Coturnix japonica: one gene and its partners. The protein of the gene in region 3 interacts with the protein of the main gene of each other region in a pairwise test. Links are inferred from orthologs where the notes say so. Each region holds a gene or a part of one and is shown on either strand. Other genes may lie near its edges.

Evidence for each region.
Region 1: the proteins of LMO2 (region 3) and TAL2 interact in a two-hybrid assay, tested with the Homo sapiens proteins (2 studies listed by BioGRID and IntAct). The link is inferred for Coturnix japonica from reciprocal best matches to the Homo sapiens genes LMO2 and TAL2.
Region 2: the proteins of LMO2 (region 3) and STAT1 interact in a two-hybrid assay, tested with the Homo sapiens proteins (2 studies listed by BioGRID and IntAct). The two-hybrid records come from large-scale screens. The link is inferred for Coturnix japonica from reciprocal best matches to the Homo sapiens genes LMO2 and STAT1.
Region 4: the proteins of LMO2 (region 3) and TLE family member 5 interact in binary tests that used the Homo sapiens proteins (3 or more experiments, as listed by UniProt). The two-hybrid records come from large-scale screens. The link is inferred for Coturnix japonica from reciprocal best matches to the Homo sapiens genes LMO2 and TLE5.

The regions. Positions count from the first base shown.
Region 1 is NC_029547.1:48,944,694-48,948,664, forward strand, and holds the start of TAL2 (T-cell acute lymphocytic leukemia protein 2), read left to right. Parts: upstream 1-1,171; 5' UTR 1,172-1,367; intron 1,368-3,971.
Region 2 is NC_029522.1:2,025,102-2,029,089, forward strand, and holds the start of STAT1 (signal transducer and activator of transcription 1-alpha/beta), read left to right. Parts: upstream 1-1,188; 5' UTR 1,189-1,241; coding exon 1,242-1,315; intron 1,316-2,169; coding exon 2,170-2,298; intron 2,299-2,932; coding exon 2,933-3,077; intron 3,078-3,988. UniProt on the Homo sapiens protein: Signal transducer and transcription activator that mediates cellular responses to interferons (IFNs), cytokine KITLG/SCF and other cytokines and other growth factors.
Region 3 is NC_029520.1:6,402,647-6,404,964, reverse strand, and holds part of LMO2 (rhombotin-2), read right to left. Parts: intron 1,909-2,318; coding exon 1,693-1,908; intron 1-1,692. UniProt on the Homo sapiens protein: Acts with TAL1/SCL to regulate red blood cell development. Also acts with LDB1 to maintain erythroid precursors in an immature state.
Region 4 is NC_029543.1:645,298-649,375, forward strand, and holds the start of TLE family member 5, read right to left. Parts: upstream 2,801-4,078; 5' UTR 2,575-2,800; coding exon 2,548-2,574; intron 2,335-2,547; coding exon 2,237-2,334; intron 850-2,236; coding exon 786-849; intron 151-785; coding exon 106-150; intron 1-105. UniProt on the Homo sapiens protein: Transcriptional corepressor. Acts as a dominant repressor towards other family members. Inhibits NF-kappa-B-regulated gene expression. May be required for the initiation and maintenance of the differentiated state.

The sequences.
Region 1 (3,971 bases), on a different chromosome or scaffold from region 3:
GCCTATGCAACCATTCTCACTGAAAGAACAACCACTTTTCTGGCTGGGTATCTCTTATATCTGGCCAGGGTTTGAAAACCGTGAGCAGTAGGGCTGTCCAAGCATTCAGGGATGAGCAATTTTGGTCCTGCCCTTTTCTGAGCTGGCCAGTCCCGCTGCTGCAGGCACCGTGCTGACCAGGGGATGCCAGGCAGGCTGTGGGTAAGCGATGGGCTGGGGACGCAACACAGAGAAGGAGCACTCTGCAATTTTCCAATGCAAATTACATGGAAATTAGGCTGCTGTAAAGCCAAAGGCCCCTCTGGAATAGGACCTTTAGTTAACATAACACTTGTGCTAAATGAAGCGGTTGACACAGCTTTCAGGCTGTAGTGCCACTGTTAATTCACCGCGTGAAAGGGCTGAAGCTTCGGTTGAGCTCCGCGGGGGAGGAGCTGCCCCGCCGGGACTGAGAGCAACGCTCCTATTGCTGGGGCAGCCCTCTTAACAGAGATGTGCAGCGCTTTTAACAGCCCTCCGTGCGTTTGTACCAAGGCTGCGCCTCTGTTGGCTTGGGTCTGAGGAAATCCTGCGACTGTTTTCCCACAAAGAGAACCGTTGTCCAGGGGCACAGGACAAATCAGTCTGCGTTACCAACAAGGGGATATGACAGTGGTGTTCAGAGGTCTTCTCAAACATCCCCACACCCTCTGACCTTCTCTCTGGAGATTCAGCCTGATGGAGAGAGGGTCTGGGCTACATCAGGACCCCACAGCATCTCCTCTGCCGGCCCCGTGCTGAGAGGCAACCCTGCACACAAGGCTCACTCCTCAGTCCCTCCTTCCTGCAGTATCAGCCTGTGTTCTGTTTCTTGCAGTCATATGTGAGCTTGTGGGCTGCTGTCACTGAGCTGAGAGGGTGTCCAGAAACATTTGCAGGCTCAGAGCTGATTAAATAAATAAACAAATACATATTTTTAAGGGAAATAATTGATTCTTGCCACAAGAATTCCATTTTTTCCTGACAAAGTACATCTGACCCAACCAGAGTTGTGCCTGGGATAGTGGGAGCAGTCCCCCCTGTCTCTCCATTAAGAGGCAGAGTGGTGTCAAGGAAAGAAAAGGCAGGACAGAGAAAATCTCCTGGGAGATGCAAAGCAAGCTCCTGGATTGCTAGGACCAGTGGTGACACGCGCCAGACAAAGGACCTGCTATTCTATAAATGAGGCAGCCAGGACCAGCACTAGGCTGACTCCATCCAGAGAGAGCGAGCTCTGCAGCCAGGCACGGTGAGAGCTGCTGCAGAACGAGAAAAGGACGTGCCTGATTTTGCTGTCCCTTCACCCGCTGACCTGGTTTGCTGAGCCTCAAGCACCTGTGACCAGAAATGTAAGTGACAATTTACTTGTCTCTGTGCAGAACTGCATCCCATCTCCCGGGCTTACCTTGCAACTCTCCTAGGAATGCTGATGTTTCCTTTCTGAAACACACAGCGGGAAATATCATTCAGAGAAGGAATTTCAGCGATTACCTTTTACCATCCCCTAGATTCCTCTTTATTTTCTTGGCACTTCAGAATCTTGTCATCAAAAAGTGAATAGTAAGGCACGTTATCTGACGGAATAGTTGCAGAAACGGCTGCGTTTAGTCAAGCAAAGTAACTGTATTCCCCTAATTTTGTGCTGGGAATTTCCAATTCTTGGCATCCACTGAGAAGACTCGGTGAATCAGCCTCATGCCAGGAGAAATTAGTTTTTGTTTTTGACTGTTTTGGAAAGAAACATTCTTACATTATGACCTCACTATTACACATTAGGCAAACTCATTTACACCACCAGAAAGTGCTGTAAATCAGTTGTTGCATTCAGAGAAAATGATTGTATAGAACATTGTGGGCTCCCTGAGGAACAAATGAATTCTACAGTGTTTGATACTTGAACCAAATTATTTGTGAAAACATAGAGAAGCATGCACTTGCCAGAATTTGTTGTGTGATTATGAACTAGATAGATTGTATGGAAAACCTATGAATGTGTAAACAAATAAGGACGTAAAGAAAGAGCTCCAAACTTCAGTCCTCACATACTTAACAATGTCCCACTGCTTTACTGGTTGTATGCCTTACGGCTGGTGTGTCTGCACTATACATCACATTCCAATTTTGTCCCAGCTCAGTAGTCTACTTGGCAGGAAAAGCTTAAGGACTTTATTCATTTAAGCTCAGGAGTCAAACACGAATAACTCTCAGATTTCAAAAATAAATAAATAAATAAATAAAAGATAAAAGATAAAAAATAAAAGATAAAAAAATAAAAAATAAAAAATAAAAATAATAAAAAATAAAAAATAAAAAGTAAAAAGTAAAAAATAAAAAATAAAAAATAAAAAATAAAAAATAAAAAATTTGAAACGGTCCTATACAGAACAGGTTAGTATCTCTGGGCTGATAGAGCCTTATTTGCCCAAGGTTGACAATAAACAATAAAAGCTTTTTTTTTTTTTTTTTCTTAAGTAGCAATCCCTATTTTTCCTGCTTTCCATGAAACAGTAAAGGATGACACATGGTTTTTAGAACCCTTCTCCACTGTGTGTCTATCATTTCAGACACACAAAACAACAACAACACTCCCCACCCCCCAAAAAACCCAGCCAAAATAAATGCAGCTTGCTCTTACTGCCTGTTTAAATATATTATTACAGTGGCTGCAGCACGAGCAGCCAATCCAGCAAATGAGAAGCTCCCAGTGCCAGCAAGCTTGGTGTATGACCTGGGGATGAAACCCAGATGCTCAAAAGAGACCTGTGGCCATGCAGACCTGAACGCTGACCTTCCTATCAGGAGCTGTCCCATGCAGGTTAGCAGTGTAACACCTGTGAGAAACCACAGTCCTTGTTTTGCATTGATTTGTATTGTGCCTCTGGAAGTGAAGCTTTGTTGTGGTGGGTATGTTTCTCCACACTTCTTCTAACCCAATTAGTTCCCAGTATGATGCCATGGTACCCTGTTTTAAATTGTTTTTGGTAGGAAGGGGACACATTGCACACAGATAATAATTTTTCAAACTTTTGGTCCTGCTCAAGTCAGAGATTTGCTATCAGCCTCAGAGCACACCTAGATAGAATGGAAAAGCCAAACATCATCTTGTTTATATTCTAAAATAGCATCATATCCACATTCTCCTGAGGCAAGTGTCCTTATGGCATTGTCCTTCTTCCCCTGCTTCTCACAGTGCCTTCTGACAGGGCCAGCTGCTGCAGAGTGATCTTTACTGAGCTGAGAGGAAGGTGGTATCTGACCACCCTCCATCTCTGCATGGTAGACCTCCAGTGAGGACTGCCCTATGTAAGGAGCCAGTAGATGATATCTGTGTTCAGCAGGGCTCCGCATACAAGTCTGGCAAAGAACAGAGTCCTTGAAGAGCTCCTGGAAGAAGATCTAGCTGGTTTTTTTTTGTTTTTTGTTTTTTTTTTCCCCCTCCATGTTAACCCTGTGGCACTGCAATAGTGTCCAGATGTAACGTTTGGGAAATTAACAGACACTGTTTTTAAATGAAACCCAGTGGAGCTGTAATTGAGGCTTTGACTCAAGAGGCCCATACTGGAGACTGGATGAGGAGGACATAGAAACTTTATTACAAATTGTCTCCCAGATCTCCTTGAATAGACAGTAACATTTGTGCAAGTTTAGCCCCCCCAAAAAATAATAATAAAAAAGGGTAGCTAGAGTTCCTGGGCAAATGCCCCTTTCTTTGCTGTGGTGCGCAGCAAGCTGTTGTGTCCAAGTCAACACAGTAGACATCAATTTAACAAGAACTGCTACAGCACAAGTGGCATCTTTGCACAGGGCTGTGGTGTAATTCAGTTTTACTGCAAAGGAATATAAAAAGCTTGGCAAGTGGGAATTTACAGGAAAAATAATCCTGTGTGCACAACATTTATGGCGTGGTGTCAACCTCATATTTTGCTCCCTGCCAAATGCGTGCTGGGTTACAG
Region 2 (3,988 bases), on a different chromosome or scaffold from region 3:
AAGAAAACACACCCCACTAATGAGAACGTGTCCCTGTATGAGATGAGGGTTCAAAGAAAGGAAGTAAATGGCAAAAAAAACAAGAAAAGCAAGTCAAAAGGGACACTCTCACATGCTGCTACAGCAGATGACATCTGCTCTCCAGCACTTTTACTAACAGTGCTTACGCTTTCACTGGGTTTCACAGCTGCAAAATCAGAAATAACAGGAAAAGAACCCAACAGCACTGTGCTGTGCTTTGTGCCCTGCCCTACTACCACACGGTTTCAAATTCAATGTAAAAACCTATTAGCTACCATTTTCCTACTGGTTTGATATATAAAGAACTCAGATTCATACCAGTAATCAGGGCTACCAGACAAAAACTTACCAGCACATCTTCTATTTACCCATCTCTTCTACCAGCTAAGAAGGTTTCCCTGTTTGAGGGGAGCGGGAGATACAAACTACAACCAAAAAAGACCCAAGCACTCCCCATTAGGTTTATACACTTTACTGACCATTCACAAACACTTTGGAACACTCTGGTAAATAACTCAGCCTACCCAAAGAAATTGAGTGTATTTTCTCTATGCATCAAGGAAGAATGTTCATTTGGCAAACTCCTGCCTTTCCAGAGCCTCAGGATTTATCTTCTAAATAATCTTCATAGGGGAAAAAAAGAAGCAACAGAAAAGAACCCAGGTTTTAACATAAGCCAAGATTGTCTAGAGTTACTTATACCAACACAGCCCTACATGTCCTAACAAGGCAACGAGCTGCAATAAGGATGAAATGTGAGATAATGAAGCCTCCATATCAGTTATTTACTAGGATGAAAGCTCTCAGCCGGCCAAACACCGGGCACAATTAAAACCCTCAGCTGTTATTAAGCAGACCTCCATCCAAGTCTCTGTCTGTTGGACGGAAATCTGGGTTAATTTATTAACAGCCCGAGATACGATTGTACAGTCTATCAATGCAAACAAAGGCCAAGATGGCGGCGCTGTGCCTGTGGTGTCGCTTTCGGTTTCGCCTTCCCGCCAAGCGGCCCGTTCCGGTCGCAGGGAGCCTTTCCCAGAAGTCACGTGGTGCAGCGCCGCCTCACAGCGCCGTCACTACGCATGCGCAAAGCACCACAGCGAGTCCCAGAAGAAACGCGGAAGAAAAAGTGAAGGGGGCGGGGCTTAGGGCGGCACCGCGCGTGCTCATTGGCCCGGGCGGTGTGGGCCGGGCTCCTATTGGCCCTGCGGTGTATCCCCATGGCCGCGGCCGGGAGGGTATTTGTGGGAGCGGGGAAGGGGAGAGAGCGGAGCGGGACGGGTAGTGCCAGCGGGTGAGTACGGGATGGGGTGGGGGTAAATTAGCATCTGATCGCCGTTATAGCCAGCTGTGAGCCTTGGAACCATAACCTGGGGGGTAGGAGAAGGCTGGGGGGGACCTGAGAGCGACCCGCTCTGCGAAGGAAGGGGATATGCTCTTCAATAGGGTCTGTTGTGATGGGATGAGGGGAGAGATTGGAGCTGAATACAGAGAGACAAAACTGCTTCTAAAGAATCTCAGCAATATCAACCCTAATATTCAAGCCAAAAATCATATACAAAAAGAGAAAAGAATCAGACTCACCCAGCTGATGAAGGGGCTCCCTGGCAATGCAGCACTCCTATACGAAGCAGCCCAGATCCAAACGATGCTCTCTCTTCAGTGGCTGGTATTTATATGAGCCATAGGGCTCCACTCTCAGCCCACCCTCCTGCTCAGCTGGGAGCACAGGTGAACACTGTCTGTACTCCCTTAGGCAGACACAGCCCTGACCTATCAGCTCCCCTGTAAGCAACTACAGTACAGTCACAGTGCTGATACTGATTGAGAAAGGAGCGTGTATGGAGGGTAAAAAACGCAGCTTTTCATAGGGAAGAGTGTTTGAAGTGTTGACTGACTTCTGTTGATGCAATTAACAGTCTTAATTGGCAGCTTTTGGAATTCAAAGCAGCGCAGAAGATGTTAAGTGATGTTTTGATCGTTCAGTGATTCCATTTCACCTCAAAACAGAACGTGCTTCTGTTCCAATTTCCTTCCGTTTTACCGTGACCTCCAGATTTATGGGTTTAATGAAAGCCTGGAATGAGTCATTTTGCACCACTTCAGCTCTAACGGTACCTTAAGCTGCTTTTATTCCCCGCTTCCCAGGATGACTCAGTGGTATCAGCTACAACAACTGGACTCCAAGTTTTTGGAGCAAGTTCACCAGCTGTACGATGACAGCTTCCCTATGGAGATCAGGCAGTACCTGGCACAGTGGCTGGAAAACCAGGATTGGTAAGCATAGAAATTGACCTTTGGGTTATAGGATAATAAACGTTACACAGAGAGGGACAGGTGGCAGCAGAGTACTGGGGAAGAAAGCTGCTAGGGACGTGGGGACACCTATGCTGGTAGGATGCTTTGAGAGCTGTGCAGCTCATAGACTTGAGGAGGGGTGGGAATCTAGTCTGTGTAGGGGAGGCCTGATGTCTAGAGTAACAATTGCCCCACTTAATGTTTTCTTTAGTTAATCTCAACCAAAAGCAGGTGTTTTAAGGCAGTCAGTTTGCCTGGCACCTCAGGCTCTCACCATTCACAGACTCAGAACTGTTTTCCAACGTTCCTATGGAGTGTTGTTTAGCACTGCATGGTGTGTGTATGCATCAGGGTCACTTCTAGCTTCCTGATGCACATGGAAAGGGTCAGTGATGTCACACAAAACGTGGCAAAGGCAGCACAGAAGAACAGCAGTTCTCTATTGAGGAAAGTGAAGCAGAAGGTGAGAGGATGAGGCTGACGTGTTTGAAAGCAGTTCTTCCTGCTCACGTATATTACAACTGGAGCTGGGGATCAATACAACGTTCTCTGTAGTGCATTTTGAGTGCTGGTTGAAAGCATTTAACACAAGCATGCTTGCAATTTATTCTAGGGAACACGCGGCCAACAATGTGTCATTTGCTACGGTGCTATTCCATGACCTGCTGTCACAGCTCGATGATCAATTTAGCCGATTTTTGATAGAAAACAACTTCTTGCTGCAACACAACATAAGGAAAAGCAAACGTAATCTTCAGGTATGCCCAGGCACGTGTTTAAATACCTTTGGTGCTGGAGTTGGATGTCCCCAAGCAGAATATTCTGCCCTGAGGGATTTTCCAGAGAGTATTCGAGAGCCTTAATTTAACAAGTCAGATTCCAAACGTGACTCCATTTTTATTTTAACTTGGCTATGGTTACAAAGTTACTTTCATTAACAGTACAAGTTATGGTTTCTGAGAACTCAAAACCAGAAGTTGCTGTATGCAAGGGTCTGTAATAGGAGCATGCAAGGAGCATGTAATTGGAGTACCTTAGGGAATGCAGCTTTGCTTACCCCAACCCTTCCCAGAGCAGTTTCTTGTCTCAATAAATCACTGATGCAGAAGAAACACAGGAGAATAAATCCTTAAACATAGCTACAGAACCACAATAAAAAACAGGGAATCTGTCACTTGTGTACATCACATTATTCTGACAAAGAAAAGGATGAAGCAGTGGGTAGTGGATAGCACTGCAGAATCTATTTGTGGTCTCCATTACTTCCCTTGTCTCTGTGTTCCCAAGTGGCAGCAAATGTCCCTTCTTTATCTTCCCAAGTGAAAGCAGCACCTGTCAAGCTATAACTCCTCTTTAAAAACTGCAGCTATGCCTCCAAGGTGTGGAGGTGTGGCTCTCAAAGCTGTCTCCAGCACTACAGTGTAAAACAGCTTACTCTGTGCCTTCTTACAGTAACATCTCCAGCCCTATGTCATTGTTACATGACAAGTCCCATCAACTCTTTGTACCCTAACAAAACAAAGTAATACACCAAGCAGAGAAACTGCTTCCTAGAGCTGGCTACAGTCCATGTAGTCTCAAAGCAAGATACAACTCGGGCTTAACCCGACACATGTTATTCTTGTCAGTTGATTTAATGAAATACAAGAGATTACACGTATTAAGTTTA
Region 3 (2,318 bases):
GTATGTATAAATACAAAATCATAGAATCATTTAGGTTGGAGAAGACCACTAAGATTATCACGTATATTCTTAGAAGGAGGGAGAAATCCTATTACTTGTGTAAAGAATACACACATTGACTTTGAATTCTATGTATCCATACTAATTACAGAAAGATTTTGTCCACCCTCTACACTTCACTTCTGTGCCTGCTTCATTTATCCTGAACTGGAAATGGAATACCTACTACAGAGAGCTCTTTAAGGGTAGAAGACATCATTCCTTTAGTCTACCAGGAGATGTCAGTGTCTACTTCTGCCCAACTAAAGTAATAAGGTTACACAAATTTTGCAAGATGTCTCATTAATGATGGAAGAAATCATGCTATATTATTAAATAAACAAAAACATTCCATCTCATGGCAAGAAAACACATTACTGCACTGGCATATTTTCTCTTGCTTCCCTTTTAAGACAAGTATCTGGGAAGTGTAGCTAACACTGGTTCATTGCTGGAACACGATGTCTGCTGAGACTTTACAAGTGGTCCCATTTCTGCCAAGAGAAATTCCCATCAGTAAGTTCCGGAGCACAATCACTAGGAGCTCCTTTGAGATGTTGCTTTAATTTTTGTAGACTTCAGAAAGGTAGCTGAAAACATATACAATGTCTTCAGCCTGTTCCACAAACATCCTGCAACATTAGGGATCCAATGGGACAAATGGGATACAGCCAGCACAGCTAAGACCCACTTATAACTGAGAACATAGAGATCCCTTATTACGGATGTTTCATGAAATATACTATTCCCAGTTTAATCCTTTTACTTAAAAAATAGGGCGAATCAGATAGGCAGATGTTGCTGAGAACTCCACCGAGTCCAACTTAACAGGACCAAACTTCCCTGTACTGGCTGCAGCTCCACACTACACATCCAGCACATGCTGTCTTTCTGCTTGAAGTGCCTCCGGTAAGTTACCAGTGATGCAGAAAAAGACATGGATCAATCCACGTACAAAAGGCTGTCATTTCAGAACCAAACAAGTCCCACTGCTTGGTGGAATCAAGCGTCTCTTAAGGGGCTGACATTACCACATCAGAAAATGAATTAAATTCAGTTACCTTGGATACCATGTTCTTAAATGAGAGAACGAAATGATCTTTCATCAGTAGCCAATCTCAACACCTGTTTTTATATAACTTTCAGCTCCACAGCAATGCCTGCAGTGGCACAGAACTGCTTAAAGCCATTCTTAGGAGCTGGCTTGCAGTCAGCTTGGGCAGGGTGGCCCTGAAATTCATCACTGCTTCCCAGTTTCTGCTTGGCAGTACCCCACACTGACACGTCTCAGCCAGCATCCAGCCATCTGGGGAGCAGCAGCACCGAGCAAACTCCATTATTCTCAAACTCTACATCTAAGATTAGCCAAAATGAATTATGCATGATTCTTTGTTCACTAGCTGTACCTTAAATTGATAGACAAAGCTGAAATGATAGAAAGAAGGGAAGGTGAGTGGAATAAGTCACCCAGAGAGGCAGTAGTTGCCCCATCCCTGGAGACACCCAAGGTCAGGCTGGATGGGGCTGTGAGCACCTGATCTAGGGTAGGTGTCCCTGTTCATTGCAGGGCAGTTGGACCAGAAGGCATTTAAAGTCCCTTCCAGCTCACATAATTCCATGATTCTATGAGAAGCGGGCTGGGAGGCCACATACCTGAGATAGTCCCTCCGGCAGAGCTTCCTGCCCAGCTTGTAGTACAGCCGCCGCCCCACCTCTCCCAGCCGGCATCCGCACAGGTCGCAGCTGAGGCAGTCCTCGTGCCAGTATTGGTCAATGGCCTTCAGGAAATAGCGGTCCCCGATGTTCTGCTGGCAGCCCCCACATGTCAGCAGTGACGGGGGGATCTGCAGCACCTCATCCACCGGCTCCCTGTGAACAAAAGGGGTGTTGGAGAAGGGAAACACGCTGCCACCATGCCAGTAAGAAGGAGGAAAACCAAAACCAAACACAATGGCAGGTGGGTTGATGAGAACACAGAGCACACCCTCATATTTTCTCCCTGTGGAGAGAATGATTTATCCCTTTCTAACATGAGTGGGAGGGAGCAGCACGTCGCTCTTCTTGGGCTTTAAAGAGATTGGGATAACTTAAACTATAAGGAGTTAATAAAAGTAGCCAAACTCTCCTAACTTGTTTATATATTTTTCTTCAAAGGATAGCACATAAACATGAAGATCTCTTTATCACCCAGGAATATTCATTACTGTAAATATACCTGCAATGTTAATAGAGAATTGGTGCCAGTGTAGATATATCCTTCTTTTTTTTCTGGCAGAGAA
Region 4 (4,078 bases), on a different chromosome or scaffold from region 3:
CCCAATGCCAGAGCTGGAGATCCCAAAATCAGTGCTGACGTTTGACATCCTGAAATGCCACTGAAGGGACAGAAGGCACAGCAGGCAGCCCACCCCCCCCAATACCTGTTTGTGCATCTCAATATTCAGCCCGTAGGACATCTCGTAGTACTGCGGAGTGGGGAAGAAGAGAACAAACAGACACGATGAGGACTCCAGCATGCAAAGAGACCCCCACATCTGTACCTTCCTGCTGCCCCCAGCCCAGGTGGGACCTCAACTAACCCAGAGCCCACTCAGCACCTTCACAGAGCCCTGGCATCACAGGGAGAGCTCAGTGCTCTGCTGGGAACAGGCACAGCCCGGCTCTGTTTGCTGTGCCTGGCCCATCTCCTAACGCCCACGTGGCTGCTCCGGCAGCAAATGGAAGGGCTCAGCCCTGTGCTCCAGCTGCACACAGCTCCAGCTGCTTGGGAAGGAGCTGCAGGAAACACACACGCAAAATAACCCACCCCCCTCACACAACAGGCAGCTCCAGTGCAAGCTATTGGCACGGGAAGTCAATTCCTGAGCACTCCAAGTTTGCTCAAGCAGCAGAGCAGCTCTGCACACAGACAGCAGCTCCCTGCTCACACCCTGCATGTCCATCCTGCACCCACCGACCCAGCACACACACAGGGTGCAGAGCACGAGGAGCTCTGTTTGTTTGCACGAGGAGCCCTGTGTGCACGAGGAGCCCCGTTTGCACGAGCCCAGCAGCAGCAGCACCTGCTCCCCACCCACGCGCTGCCCCGGCAGCTCCTCACCATGACGTAGTGACGCTGCATCTCCGATTTCTCGCTGGCGAGTTTGTCGCATTCCAACTTCAAGCTGCAAAGGCAGAAAGCAGTGAGAGAAGCAGCAGGGCAGCGGGTTGCATCCTGGGTTGCATCCTGCAGGGTCCATCCCAGCCTGTTGTGTGCCCAGTGCAGCTCAGCAAAGCAACCAGATCCTCCTATACTGGGGAAGCCCAGGTGCAGTGCAGGCCTCTGGAATGATGCCTTTTCCCCCTTTCCTTTGGGTTCTTTGCACCCTTAAGAGCAGACGTGCTGCTCGCTGTGCTCTGTGCAGCTCCCCAGCCCGGCAGCTGCAAGCAGCATGTGCTGGTTTTATGTTTCAAACAAGAAACAGCTTCACCTCCACCAAACCTGCTGCTCTGTGAGCAGATCGGGTCCTGCAAGGGGGGGCCACAATGCTGCACGATGCAGAGCTCGGGGAGGTGGGAGCAATAGGGAAAGGGCAACACACGGAGCAATGGTTTGGTGCATGCGTGCAGCTAGGAAGCAAACAGCAAGAGAGCCCATCGGCAGCCAGCTTTTGGGTCAGCAGAAGCCATTCCGCAGGCGGAAAAGCGGAAGCATTTGGCTTTAAGTGCTCCCTGCAGCATTTGTGAGCCAAGAATGGCAGCCAGCAGGGAGAGGGGAGGAAAACTCCCAGCGAGAGGAGGGAGGGCTGGAAGAGCTGCACATGGATGGAGGGATGGAAGAGCTGCACATGGATGGAGGGATGAAAGAGCAGCACATGGATGGAGGGATGGAAGAGCTGCACAGGGATGGAGGGATGGAAGAGCTGCACAGGGATGGAGGGATGGAAGAGCAGCACATGGATGGAGGGATGGAAGAGCTGCACAGGGATGGAGGGATGGAAGAGCTGTGCATGGATGGAGGGATGGAAGAGCTGCACAGGGATGGAGGGATGGAAGAGCTGTGCATGGATGGAGGGATGGAAGAGCTGTGCATGGATGGAGGGATGGAAGAGCTGTGCATGGAGTCCTGCATTGGGGTAAGACCTGGCTGTGGGGGAGGCAGAGCGTTCTCCTTCCTTCTCCTTCCAGAATCCCACCTTTTGGGCAGTGAGCAGAGCGTTCCCTGCCTGGATTGCAGCTTTTGGCCAACTCTGGGCCGAACTGCGTGGCCAAAGGAAAGGAAGGCAGCAATGGGTGCACACCGGGCGTCCCCCCCCCCTCCTTGGGATGCTCACATCGGTCCTCCAGGTGGGACCTGGAGGTGATACCGGCCTGGGGAGGCTGAGCCTGGGGGTAAACCTGTGCTGGGCTGGGAGGGCAGCGCGTCGTGCCGCACGGAGCCCATCTCTTGGCCACGCTGCGTCCCGGTCCGTGCAGGGCAGCGATGCCAAAGCGGAGGATCCCAGCTCCGGGCGCACTGCGGACCCCCCCGGGATGCTCGGGGCGGTCGGTGGGGGCGGTACCGGCACGTACCTGTGATACTGGGCCTGCAGGAGCTGGAACTCGTCCTTGATGCGGTCGCACGAGTCGGAGGTGGTGAACTTGAGCTGCTGCGGCAGGTGAGAGGAGCCCTTGAACAACACACACAGCGCTGCACACCCAATGGGGGGCCCGCAGCCCTGCCCGCCCCCCCACCGCAGCCCGCCGCCGCCCAAGGTCACCCGCACCCCCCGCTCCGGTTCCCGGTGGCTGCGGGCGGGCAGGGGGCGGCTCTCGGTGCTCCCCCCCGTCCTTCCCTCCTTCCTTCCTTCCTTCCTTCCTCGCTCCTCCCGGTGCCGCCGTACCGAGTGTCGGCTTTGTGGAAACATCATGTCAGGCTGCAGCCCGTTCCACCGCCCGCAGCGGTCCCCTCGCCCCGCTCCGCTCCGCTCCGCTCCGCTCCGCTCCGTTCCGTTCTTTCCCCGTCCGCCTTTGTCCGCGCCGGGCCCGGCCCCGCGGCCGCCCCGCGCCGCTGTGCCCCGAGCCGCCGCCTATTGTCTAATGGCGGCTGCGATCCGCTCCGTCCTGCGGCTGCTCGGCACCACCTGCCGCCCCGCCGCCGCCTCCCCGGGCCGGGCGGGCCCACGGCCGTCTCCGCCCCCGCCGCGATCCGGGCGGTGCGGGGCGCTCAGCTGCTCCCCCCCCCCCCAATTCCCCCCCCCCCCCCCCCCTCGCCCCCCCCCCCCCCCCCCGGGATCGGGGGGGGGGGGGGCGCCCAGCTGCCCCCCCCCCCCCAATTCCTTCCTACCCCCCCCAGCCGTGATGCTCTGCCCCCCCCACGCCCACCCATCCCGACCCGGTGCCGCTCAGACCCCGCTCCGTGGGACCCTCCGTGGGTCTGGGGTCTGCGCTGTGTCCCAGAGCCCCGCACCTGCTGCGGGCATCGTGGGTGCGAGAAGGGCTTAGAGTGGGGTCGGCCTTAAAGGGCATCCAGTTCTCCCCATCACCATATTGCTATCAGGCAGGTAAAAGTCACTCCCCCTCCTCCCTGTAAGCCCCCTCCCCAAGTACTGGAGGGCTGCAGTGAGGTCTCCCCGGAGCCTCCATGGCTGCTCCATCAGCACGTTTCCATAGCAGAGGATCTTTGGTGCTCAGAGCTCAGAGCATCCCACAGCCTGATCCCAGACCTGGATGCATCACTGCAGGTGGGTCCCCACAAGGGCTGAGCAGACGGGACAGTCCCCTCCCTGCCCTCTGCCCCCCCATAGTTGCAGCGCAGGGGGGTCTGTAGGACCACCACGACCACAGATCCCAAGCTATGACCATCCAACCACTTCCTTACCCACCAAACAGCCCACCCTTCAAACCCACCTCTCTCCTATTGAGAGAAATGGGCACAGTGTGGGGCCGTGCAAAGGCCCTGCACAACTGCAGCCTGTGCCCTTCCTTTGTCCACCAATGCCATCAATGGAGGCCACCAGATGGGCCAGACACGTCTGCCCTTGGCGTTCCTTGTTCACCTATTGCTTATGGTTCTTGATGTGATGCTGCAGGAGCTGAGCACCCCAGCAGTGTGGAGCTCACCATCACAATTTGGGGCTCACTATCACAGTACAGGACTCACCATTGCAATATGGGGCTCACCATTGCATTATGGGGCTCACCATCACATTGCATGCCCCAGTATCACAGTGCAAGGCTCACCATCACAGTGCAGACCCCACCATTGCAATGCAGGGCTCAGTTTTTGACTTGCAATGCCCACAGCAAAGCATTGCTTCTTCTCTTCTCTCCTTTGCTGGAAGAAACCATGCCCAGAGCAGCACCTCAGCAGAGCCCCATCCATGGGCAGAGGCTGCAGTGCTCCAGTGAGCAGAGAAAGGCTGCTGGATCCCT